Rhinolophus ferrumequinum: one gene and its partners. The protein of the gene in region 1 purifies or fractionates together with the protein of each later gene. This does not show direct contact. Links are inferred from orthologs where the notes say so. Each region holds a gene or a part of one and is shown in the gene's direction. Other genes may lie near its edges.

Region 1 (3,746 bases):
GCAGCCTTGAGAAATGTCGTATCTATAAAAATTGTTCATGAAAACACATTCATTTTCCAATTCGCTCCCATTGGCCAAAGCACAGTTAACGTTCTGAAAAAACAAATCTCCAAAATGCTTTCCCCTTCTCTGTAGTTGTTATGCTTTGTTCAACTTCCATTCATGATTTTTCTGAGTCTGATAACATCTTAGGAGGGATAGAAAAGGGTTTAAAACTTAGACAAGTTTTTAAAGTTTTTGTTGAATTGCTTTACCTGCTGTATTGTTGTCAGGATTTTCCTTATGACTGCAGGAATGGATTGAAAAAACACTCCACAAAGTTAGAGGATTTTCTCATTTTTGCTGGAGGTGAGACCAATTTACCTGGGAATCTGGTTTGAGTTCTGTGGTCAGGACCCATGTCTTGCTCCCCCTGCAGGGTTGGAGGACTGGGAAATATATTATACTTTGGATCTGGGGCTGAAGCCTGGGGTGCACAGTTTGGGGGTGGTATCAGGCTAGGCGGGGAGGCCCGTCTGGTAAATTCCATGGCAGAGTTTGGATTTGGACCCGAAGGCAATGGGAAGCCAGCTCTGAGTCTTAAACCAGCAGGTGACAGATCAGAGGTGGCGTTTTAGAAGTTCTGACTGCTTCAGAGAGGTTTGAAAAAGGCCAGTTGGGAGGCGGAACCAAGGCAGGCAGGTGGATGGAAGTGCCCCCTCTTTATGACTATGGAGATTTGGTTACCTGTCTCACGCTCCAGGGTACTGGCACAGGTGAATAGGCCTCCTGGGCACAGAGATCCACGGAGCTGTGCTGGGGCCAGACAGGGACTTTGCTGCCCCTGCGTCCTCCTTAAAGTGGGGGCTTTCAGACTAGCTACCAGTCTTGGTGCCCTTGTCTATAACAACCACACACCTCACTTCCCTGGACATTTCCATTTTCAATGCTCTGTCCTTTTGTCTGCACACTTTCCTGTGTCATAATCGGTGTTCCCATTTTTCATTGGGAAATAAGAGACTGCATGTTATTGTACCCAGGGCTTGGGTTGAGGCGTGGAGGTCAGACCCTGACCACCCCCAAGACTCTAAGACCGATATGGTAGCAGAAGTGGGGCGGGGCGGTGAGAATGCACAGGACTTAAGGCCAGAACAGCGGCTCCAGGTTCTCCTTACGCCCTCGAGCCTTCCTGTCTGGGCCGCCCCTTCCACATTCGTAACTGGAGGTGATGATACCTGTGTGTGACATCACCTTGCAGACAGCAGCGCAGTCTGCATGCAGTGACTGTTCGTATTGGCTCTCCTTGTAGGGGGCCTCAGGAGAGAAGCAGGTGCGCCGGGCGGGCTCTCCGCTGAAGAGGCAGGAAGACCACCAAGCAGGCAGCCCGCCCTGCGGGAGAGCGGGTGGGCGGAGTGCCGGCATTCGGGACCTTTTGGAGCTCTGGGTCCTCCCAGCAAAGTGGGAAGGTAAGGGTCCCCGTCTACTGAGGTGTCCAGACCATTAATGGAGACACTCCGCGGAGAGGAAGGCCAGGGCAGGGCCGGGCTCTGAACGCTGCGGCTCCCATCAACAGGACGGACGCGATCCCAGAAGAAACATTGGGGCCCTCGCTGGCCCTAGGTTCCCGGAGGGGAGATCTGCTCCTCCTTGGGAGCGTCGCTACAGGGCGAGCTCAGGATGTGAGCATTCGAGGGACACACTAGCACTTTTCTGTAGTGTCTTTATACTTCAGTGTGTAGAAAGTGCAGGCGAAGAACGGCCTGCACCGGCCACCTTTGGGGTTAACGCTTTTAAGCAGGAAGCGCGCGCATCACGCTGTCCCTTTAAGGCGTTGGACGTGCCCGAAGCATTCTGCCCCTCGCCGCTCCCCGTAGCGCCCCTCCGAAAGGCCGGCTTTGTGCTCTTGCCCCGCCCCAATGCCGCTCCGGTCCCTCGCGCACGCGCACGCGCACGCGCACTGCCGGCCCAGTGCCGCCTCGTCGAGCTCGGCCTGGCTCCCGCCCAGGCGGCGGCTGATGCGACTCCCGGAGCGCCCGCTCCCGCCCGCTGCGGCCCGTCAGGTAAGCGGGGGCCGCCCGTCCTGCGGACACGCGCATAGGGTGGGGGGCCGACGCCGCTGCACCCCAAACCGCCGCCTCCGCACGTGTTCCGGCGGGCTCGGCCTCGGCCCGGGGTCCCGGCCTGCCGGGGCCACTCGGTGCAGACGCCCCACGGGCCCACGCCGCCTCGCTTTCCGGGTATCTGCCCTGAGCCCCGCCGGCACGGCCCCCTCCGCTTACCGGAGCCCCGCCCGCGGAGGTCCCGTTCTGCTTCTCCAGACGGATCCCCAACGGTTCCCGGGACTCCCGGCGCTCATCCATGCGGCCGGTCCTCAATGGTCTAATGACAAGCCATCAGCCAGGGGGCTGCGACGTCTCCCTGCAGCCAGCCCGCATCGCCCCTTGTCTCCGCGGCTTCTCCCAAGGAAGAGCCCAGACCCACCCGGGCCAACGGCGCCTGGACGGGGCGCGCAGACTCGTCTGCCTCCTGCAGAAACGCCCCTGCCCCGACCCGCTGCTCACGCTCCGTCGAGGCAGCCAGGCCTTCGCTCTCCCGAGAGCCCGGGGTCCCAGGATGGGGTCCCTCGGGTGCGGGCCCGCTGTCAGGAAGGGAGAGACGACTCCGGCCTCGCTGAGGTTTCAGTCCGGTCCGCTAGAGCCATCTTGGGTGATGTGAAAAGATGCGCCTGGCCGTGCTGTTTCTTCCTCCTCATGTCCATTTACCAACCGTGTGGCAGGTGTCGCGCCCGACGCTGCCTCCCAGGTTGGCCCGGCTCCATAGAACGATAGGTGAGCTAGAATGGAAGCGTGTGTCCCAGGACCCAGGTGGGGCTGGCCACCTTCTTGTCCCCAAGTTACCTCTTGTTTTCCCACATCTGAGGGCCCAGTCTCGGGAGTGGAGCCCAGGAATCTGCTTTTTACAAGGCGTCAGGAGAGCACTCCAAGGAGTGGGCGGCCGGGCCCTGGGTGGTTAGGGTCACCTGGGTGCACACCTGTGCGTCCTAAGGGGGCAGGTAGCGTGTGCCCTGGAGGGGGACTCCAAATTGTTCCCGCTCACCGCAGACCCTCCTTCCTACGGAGCCAGTCCCTAACCAGCCTCCCAGTTGCCTCAAAACAACTGTTGCAGACTCACCTGAATGTTCATGAAAAAGGTCACGCTTCCCCTTCCCCCTTAGGTAGAATCTTGGGGCATTGAGACCAGAAATCTAGTTTTAGGAGTCCAGCTGATTTTTGCCTGTTAATGTTTTGCTAGCGCAAGCGGTGGGTGGGTTGGGCTGGAGCGGGGAGGGGTTGGGCACCTGTTAAGACCACCGATTTGTATTCCCTGGTCCTCACCCGAGGACAGCCGGTTTTGCCCTGCCTCCTGGTGGGTCTCAAGTTTTAAAAGGAAGCTGCTCTGTGCCTCCTGAACTGCCCGTGCACCCTAAACGAAGCCTCTTCTGTTCCCACTGGTGCTCCTCCGGGCACCCCACGGGCCACCTGTCTCAGCCCTTGCCTGGTCTGGCTCCCTCAATGCCGGGTTCTGTGAAGCAGACTTCCAGCTCTCTTCCCTAGCCCTTCCCTTCGCTGCCCTTGGCCAGCTCACTTAGGAAGGCGGCACTGGGGCTAAGGATAAGCACCGTGCAGCTGGCATTTACTGAGCATCAGCTGTGTGCCAGCACGTTGGCCCCTGGCATGTTTACCCAACCTGCCCCTTCTCTCTCCACTCAAGTACCGGGGCTTTGGGCG
Region 2 (3,746 bases), on another chromosome or scaffold:
ACAATAGCAGACAATTGCCAGAGTTGTGGGCTGGAGTTGAGCTAATAGGCAAAAGGCTGAAGGAAAGAGAGGATAGTGATGGCAGCCCTGGGGTTCCAATGGTGAATGGTGGCCAAAAAAAAAAAAAATTCAATATATAAAGCCTTACCTAGTGTATAATGCCAGGTAGCTCTCAGGATGTAGTGAAACTTAGGTTAAACATTGCAAGATTTGGATTTAGTAAACCTGTGTTCAAATCCTCCTTTTCTGCCTCTAACTATGTGATCAGGGCAACAAACTCTTTATGCCTCCATTTCCACATTTGTAAAATAGCAGTGATAATAGTATCTGCTTTTTCGATTGTTGTGAAGCAGTGTGTAAAGTGCTTAGCAGCACGCCTAGCATATTCCAATTACTCATTATTAGTTTTATTATTATTATTATTATTATCATTATTATTATTATTATTGACAGTCACCTGGGATAAAATCCACCCACGTAAGAAAGAATTCAGGAAGACAATTTGCCATTATTTTCCAATTTTCCAAAAGAAGTATGCATTGCTATTAAAATCAGGTGATAAAGAAGCCCACGCATTTCCGAAGAGAAATTGACTAGTTCACTGTTTCCCAAATTCCCTGGATGATTTTGTCCAAGGAGGCCACGGGAGTGCACATTAAAAGCAGATTCCTAGTCCCCCACCCAGAAAAACTAAATTAGCATCTCTAAGGGATAAAACTGACATGTGGGCCACATACTTATATAATAAGTGGTTGATACTGTTCATCTAAAACTTGAATCAGCCCCGCGGATTATTCTTATAATCAGTCACTGCTGGGAGGTGCTAATTTAGAGAAAGGTTCACAGTGATGGAGAGGACGGCCAGCCTAGGTAGCAGAAATCACGCGGGCCGAGGCCCGCCTCAAACTGGCGACGAACGGACCCGAAGCCTGCCGGGAGTTGTAGTTTCCGCGGCCAGACCTCTGCCTTATAAGAAAGCCGGAGAGGACTGCCGAAAACCTCCCGCCCCACAATGCAAAGGCCGATGGTGACGTCATCGGCAAAGCGCCCGGGATGGCGCGGGCCGTTTCTGCCGCTTCTACCACCATCACCGCGGCTGCCTCAGAGCCGGCCTCCTCCCCCTCCTCCCCTCCCGTCGCCGCCGCCGCCGCCGCCTCCTCTTTCTCCGTCCCCTGCGCCACCTCCACACGACCCAGGCCCTCTGTCCCTGAGGAGAAGCCGTATTAGGTCTCCTGCGCGGGCCCGGGGAGCAGCCATGGCGGACGGCGGCGGCGGCGGCAGCGGGGGTACGGGCGCGGTGGGCGGCGGCGGAGCCGGCCAGGCCTCGGCGGGGGCGGGCACGGGCGCGCCGGGCACGGGCGGGAGTGGAGGCCCCAACAACCCGGCCTCGCTCCCTCCCGGCGACCCTCAGCTCATCGCTCTCATCGTGGAGCAGCTCAAGAGCCGGGGCCTGTTTGACAGCTTCCGCCGGGACTGCCTGGCCGACGTGGACACCAAGGTACTGAGGCCGCCAAGGTCGCCCCTTTGCTTTTCCAAAGCGGAGAGAAACACAAAAGAGACCTTTAAAAATCTCGGCAGGGAGGTCGGACCGCTTGGGGCAGTAACGACGGGGAGCTTCCTGAGTGACGCACACGCGGGTTGGGCTTCAGCCCCGGCACTAGTCGCCGTGCAATCGAGCCCAGCCGCTTCTCTGAACTGGGGGTTTCAATACTGGTGTTAGAGCCTACTCCCCATCTTTCCCAAGATGGGGTCCCTGTAAGCCTCTCAATAGCAAGCCTCCGTATGTTAAGAATGGTGGAGAACGCCACGTAAGTAAGCGCGAATGGTCTGAATGCACTCGTCGGTACTGGAGCTGTTTCTTCCTTCCCTTTTTTTCTCTTCCCCCCTCCAGCGCCGTGATTTGCAGACTTGCAGATGCAGTTGAATTAAGGTACATTGTAAAGTCAGCCCCCTTATTTTGTGCTCCCTTACTGATTAAAGGGGATTTGGTGCTTTTGTCAGATCCTGATGCCGGCCACAGGTCCGCCCCGCGGTAAAATGCTAGTGAACGTTCCCTAGTTGCCAAGGTGGTTTGTATGCAATGAAGTCCTGTGTGTTGCGTCCGACATCCAGTGGTGCCTGGACCGTTCCTGTCCAGAGCTGCTCTGACAAGACAGAGACGGGGCGTCTTCTAGTGACGGGATGTCTCCTCCCTGAGCCGACCTCACAACAAGACTGTGAGCTTAAAAGACGACCGTAAGGAGAGGGAAACCCAGTCTGTTTATTCGTTGAACATGTATCGGCCTGTCTCGTGCCGGGCTACGTAGAGGGAGGAACAAGTCAGGCACTTCCCGGCCCTCAAAGCTTGTGCTCCAGGGCAGAAAACTGACATAGGAAGTGGTCAGTACTGTTACTCCTCCAAGATGAAACACCCAGTAGAAGCGCTGCTCTTGAAACGAGGTGCTTACTTGTTCCTATGTGGGGGTCTCACATACGGACTGATAGCTCCCGCCTTTCCCAGGACTCTGAGTGTTCTCAACCTCCCATCACAAGTTCTCCGCTCCTGTTTCTTATGTCCCATTACGTTTTGTGTGGCTTAATCAGTGTAGTGTGCATGTTGTTGTTATTTTTTTAATTACTATTGAGGAATTGTTGGAGAGGGAATTGGAGCCTCCCCCGCGGAACACCTTCCTCGATGTTCCTCCTGGCCGTTATCCGGTTGTTTTCATTGTTTACGGTGGTGTCTTTTCCAGCACCTCTTACTGAGTTCCTCGTTGCTTTGGCCCCACGGTTGTCAGTGTGGTCCTTGGATCAGCAGCACCACCGGAGAACCGGCTAGAAACGCATATTCTGAGGCCCCACCCAGACCGCTGAAGTCTTTACGGGAAAGTGGACTGTGATTTTCTTTGCATCCAAACTGTACAGAAACTGATGGGCGAGTGGAGAGAGGGCTCGATAATGTAAGAAAATGTTAACGGGAGGCACATAAGGTCCTTTCACTCATGAATTGAGGGAATTAGTCTGTATTGGCAGGATCCGTTCAGGTTTGCTGGTGACATTTGTGGTCCTTTTTTAGTAAACGGTCCTCAAAGCGAATGAGGTGTTTTTCATAGCAGAAGGTACAGTGTCTGGATGCCTGGTTACAAATGACAAATCTAATTCTAGCTCCCATAAGCAAAGGGGAGGGTCTGCCGACTGGAATGCCAGGAAGGACGGAAGGGACAAACTGCACTGGACCAGGCCTGCCCCCCAGTGCTGCCCTCCGTCTCTGTTCTTCATGACTGCTTCACTGTCGTGCAGAGCAGTCATCCACTTGGTGACTAGGATCTCTTGATTACATCTTACAGCCTCTTCCTCTAGAAAGGGACTCTCAGCTCCAGTTTGAAAAATCCCGGGGGGATCAGCTACATGGTGACAGAAGGAGAACTGACTTTGGGTGGTAAACACACAACGCAACATGCCGACGATGCATTATCGAATTGTACACTGAAACCTATATAATTTTACTAACCAATGTCATCCCAATAAATTTAATAAAAAAAAATCCCAGGGAATGTCTGCACTGCCTTAGCACGGGTCGGCACCCACACCCCTGTCACCAGGAGAACATGACACGCACTGCCCTACCCATGAAGAAGGGATGGTGATTACCAGGAAGAAGGAGTCGCTAGGCAGATAGTCCCCAGGTGCCTGTGAAATTGGCTTCTCACTCTTCTCCCTGCCTTCCTCTTTCCGGGTTTAGTGCAGAGTCTTTATGCCTGTGAGTC
Region 3 (3,746 bases), on another chromosome or scaffold:
GTATTATATTATATTATACCGTCTTATATTATATGAAGACCGGGTCTTATATTAATTTTTGCTCCCAAAGATGCATTAGAGCTGTAGGCCTGGCTAGGTCTTATTTTCGGGGAAACATGGTAGTTAATTGGACAGTTTGAGTTGGTGAAAGACTAATAGGATATCTGAGTTCTAATCCTGGCATGTTCATTAAAGAAAAACCATTTAACCAGGGCTCTAAATTCTTTGTCTTTCAAATGAAGGGATAGACTAGTTGATGAGCAGATTTGCATAGTACTTTGAGTGTTTACACAAATTTGTGTAAAGAGATTTACAAAGTGCCTGGCATAAAGTGCTAAAAATGTTAGTTACTTTATTATTAATCACACAACCTCATAAATATAAATGTCCTTTTGCAGATAAAGAAGTTAAGAATTACAGAAATTAAGCACAATTTCCAAGGTCCATCCGCAAAAGAACAGGGAAAGTACGCTGAGAACCCAGGATTTCTGACTATGCTATTTCCTTTGTAGTTCGTTAAGAGTTGCTTAGCTGTAAGATTATTATTTTACAAGAATTCGGACTTTCTGTGAATCTGGAAAGAAGGGTAGAAACAGTACAAAGAGAAGAGGAAAGTATTTATACGGAAGTAAGCTATGTGTGTGAAGGAAAGGTTTTGGAAGGTCATGAATGAATTTCATCTGCAGTCTTTGCCCGGAGGCAGTTTTTCTGATGGGGAATGGGATAAGGCCCTTACCATAACCGGTAGGGAGAAAGTGTGAAAGTCCTTGAATGCCAGGCTAAGGAGTCTGAGAGCTTTAGCAAACTTTTGATCAGGATGGTGTCATTACCAGCACTGACTAAACTGGGGTGATCCGGCTTGAGCTTCGGAGACCAGTTATATGGTCCTTGTTAGTATGTACAAAGTGAGGGCGTCCAGTATGTTGAGATAATTGAGATCTGGAAGGAAGGTAGCGTTCAGGGCACATGTAAACGCGTTATTTTAAAAAAGGGCTTATGAATACTTTAAAAAAAATTTTTCCCCCCAAGCAGCTACTGCAGATGCCTGGGAAGCCGAGGCAGCGCATTTGGCATTAAAACCAGGGTTAGATTCCTGGCTTTGTTATCTTCTGATTATGTAATAGAGGAAGTCACCTAACCTCTCTTGAGCCTCGGTTTCGTTTCTTCTAAATCAAAGGCAATCTTTACTTGGTAAAGCATTTTCCTGCATAAAACTAGACAGTATTTTAAGGCACTTAGCAATGGCGCTCAATGCTGATTCCCAACTCCCCCCAAGTATCCGGGCTGAGGCTGAATAGCCAAGGGCGGCCGAGGCTGGGAAAGCGGTTCTACCTGGAGACCGCAGCCGGGCACTCTCGTCCGGAGCTGGGCTGACCTCCGAACGCCGGCCCCACGTTGGACTAGGCTTCTCGTGGGGTTGACTGAGCATCCCCCGCCAGCCGGAGGGACAGACAGAGGAGCCCGGAGCGCGTGGCAGCCCCCGTCAGCCGGGGTTGCCGAGGGGAGGCGGGGAAAATCGGGCGGAGAAGCGGTGGCTGAGGCGCCGGAGGCTGCAGCTGCACCCCCACGCCGCCCGCCCGCGAACTCGCGGCGGGTGCTGGGCCGCGCTGGCCGCGTTTGAAGTCTCCGGCGCGACCGCTGGTTGGCCGGCGCGGGTCACGTGCGCCCAGGCAGGAGTTTCCCCGACAGCTGGAGGCTGCGTGGGATCCGGCGGCGGCTCCGGAGCTTGGCGGTGCGGCCTTCCCCGCCCCCTCCCTCCTCCCCCGCCCGCTTCCGCCCGGCTTATTATCCTCCTTATTGACAAACAGAGCGGCCGCGGCGGCGACTCTCGGCGTGCATCTGTAGCCAAGCCATGGGAGACAAGAAGAGCCCCACCAGGTAACAGCGCCCGGGCCCTCGGGCCCGGACTGTGCAGGCGGCAGGGCCCTCGCGTCGGGCTTCAGGCGGCCGCCTGGTTCGCCGCCCGGGCAGCAGGGCGAGAACGGGGGCGGCGCCGCTGCTGCGCGAGCGCTGCCGCGTGAAGGGCCGCCGCCGGCCGCCCCACAATGGAGCCGAGATGGCGGCGGCCGGAGCGGCAGTCCCGGTGTCACAGAGGCCGCGGCCGCGACGATAGCGGCCGCGCTCGCGCCTTCCCCCTTCTTTATTCCCCTCCCCCTCTGAGCCGGAGCGCGGCGTGTCCGGGGCCCGCGGGTGGGGGGGGGGTCGCGGAATTGGGTCGGGGGTCGGGGTGCGGGCGACCGCGGGGCCCGGGCGCTGGGCGCGGCCTGCTGGTGACCCCGCGCGACGTCGTGTCCGGGTTGTGTTCTGCAGGCCGAAGCGGCAGCCGAAGCCGTCCTCGGATGAGGGTTACTGGGACTGTAGCGTCTGCACCTTCCGGAACAGCGCGGAGGCCTTCAAGTGCATGATGTGCGATGTGCGGAAGGGCACCTCCACCCGGTGAGTCCCGGGCCTGCCTCGCGTGCTTCTGGCCAGCCGGGTCGCAGCGCAGAGGACGCCCCTGCGGCTGCCTCCACCTCCCGTGACACTTGCAGACCCGGCGGGAGGAAGCGAGACTGAGGTGGTGGCCGCGATAGGAATTGGGTCAGATTGGTCGCGACCCAAGCGATGGTTTGCGGTGAGGAGTAATTGAAGAGGCTGTATCGTTTTTTTGCTGCCAAGAGAGAATAAATTATTTAAGGAGGGCATTAGCTGCTGCGATTTAATTCGTATCGCTGGGTGTAATGTCATCCTCCCCCGCTCCATTCCGGATATAATAATGTTGGCTGCATTGTTGTGTTAGTGTGTAGGAATCAAAGAAAAACCATGAAATCCTCTTTAGGAGCAAAAGATGTAATTTAATTACGTTCCTCAAAAAGAAAACAATCTGATTATAGAATACCCAGTGGATTTAACTTCCCTTTTTATATAGACGTTTGAACGGGTCACATCAAGGTTTTGTTCAGTGTTTTTTTACAATTCTCTAATATTTTAACTTCCTTTTTTTATATAGACGTTTGAACGGGTCACAGCAAGGTTTTGTTCAGTGTTTTTTTACAATTCTCTAATATTTTATAAAAGTTGGTGGTGAGCCGTCACAGGGACGTAGTTTTACTGAAGGTGTCTGAATATCTTTAGTGTGGTCAAATGGTAATCTATTAGACTATACAAATGAGATTAAATGATCTCTGCCTATTTTCAGTCTTTATTGTAAGCTTACAGTATAATAACTCAGTCTTTTAAAAACCCACTTAAGTGAATTAAGTGGATAAAGAAAATCATCCAGGAAATTCAGACAGTGACATTCTTGATCTGCCAGCCTTAGTTATAGACTCCCTTCACCTTTATAGGAAGGTAGGCTTTAAATTAATTCGTTATAATCCTGTAATTCATAGACTAATATTTAGATAACACATATTTTGATATTACAAAGTCTGTTAGAAACTAAATTATCACAAGAGTATAAGTATACCAATGGGATATAATACTGTTGTTTTAAAAAAGGCATCCACAATATTTATATATTGATTTATATATTCAGAAGTTAGATTTCTAAAAATGAAATATCCAGATTTTTAAACACCATTTAGAGCGTTCCATTAAAAAATTTAAATGTAGAGACAGAAATGGTTGGCAGTATTTTAAAATTTTAAGAATTTAGTGAAGTCAGCTGCTTTTGACATACCTGTCTTTTTGTAAATCTTAACACGTTTTTTGTACATTAATTCCCATCTATATTGGATAAAATATATTGAGCATTTTTTATGGTA

What was found.
Region 2: the proteins of WDR5 (region 1) and BOD1 purify together in Homo sapiens (affinity purification with mass spectrometry; 3 studies listed by BioGRID and IntAct, counting the BioPlex papers as one, with this or other methods). This does not show direct contact. The link is inferred for Rhinolophus ferrumequinum from reciprocal best matches to the Homo sapiens genes WDR5 and BOD1.
Region 3: the proteins of WDR5 (region 1) and YAF2 purify together in Homo sapiens (affinity purification with mass spectrometry; 4 studies listed by BioGRID and IntAct, counting the BioPlex papers as one, with this or other methods). This does not show direct contact. The link is inferred for Rhinolophus ferrumequinum from reciprocal best matches to the Homo sapiens genes WDR5 and YAF2.

Annotation. Positions count from the first base shown.
Region 1 is NC_046295.1:81,295,243-81,298,988, forward strand, and holds the start of WDR5 (WD repeat-containing protein 5), read left to right. Parts: upstream 1-1,289; 5' UTR 1,290-1,445; intron 1,446-1,884; exon of another isoform or gene 1,885-2,039; intron 2,040-3,746.
Region 2 is NC_046307.1:39,094,293-39,098,038, reverse strand, and holds the start of BOD1 (biorientation of chromosomes in cell division protein 1), read left to right. Parts: upstream 1-1,088; 5' UTR 1,089-1,255; coding exon 1,256-1,498; intron 1,499-3,746. UniProt on the Homo sapiens protein: Required for proper chromosome biorientation through the detection or correction of syntelic attachments in mitotic spindles.
Region 3 is NC_046293.1:45,237,921-45,241,666, reverse strand, and holds the start of YAF2 (YY1-associated factor 2), read left to right. Parts: upstream 1-1,510; 5' UTR 1,511-1,852; coding exon 1,853-1,878; intron 1,879-2,310; coding exon 2,311-2,436; intron 2,437-3,746. UniProt on the Homo sapiens protein: Binds to MYC and inhibits MYC-mediated transactivation. Also binds to MYCN and enhances MYCN-dependent transcriptional activation. Increases calpain 2-mediated proteolysis of YY1 in vitro.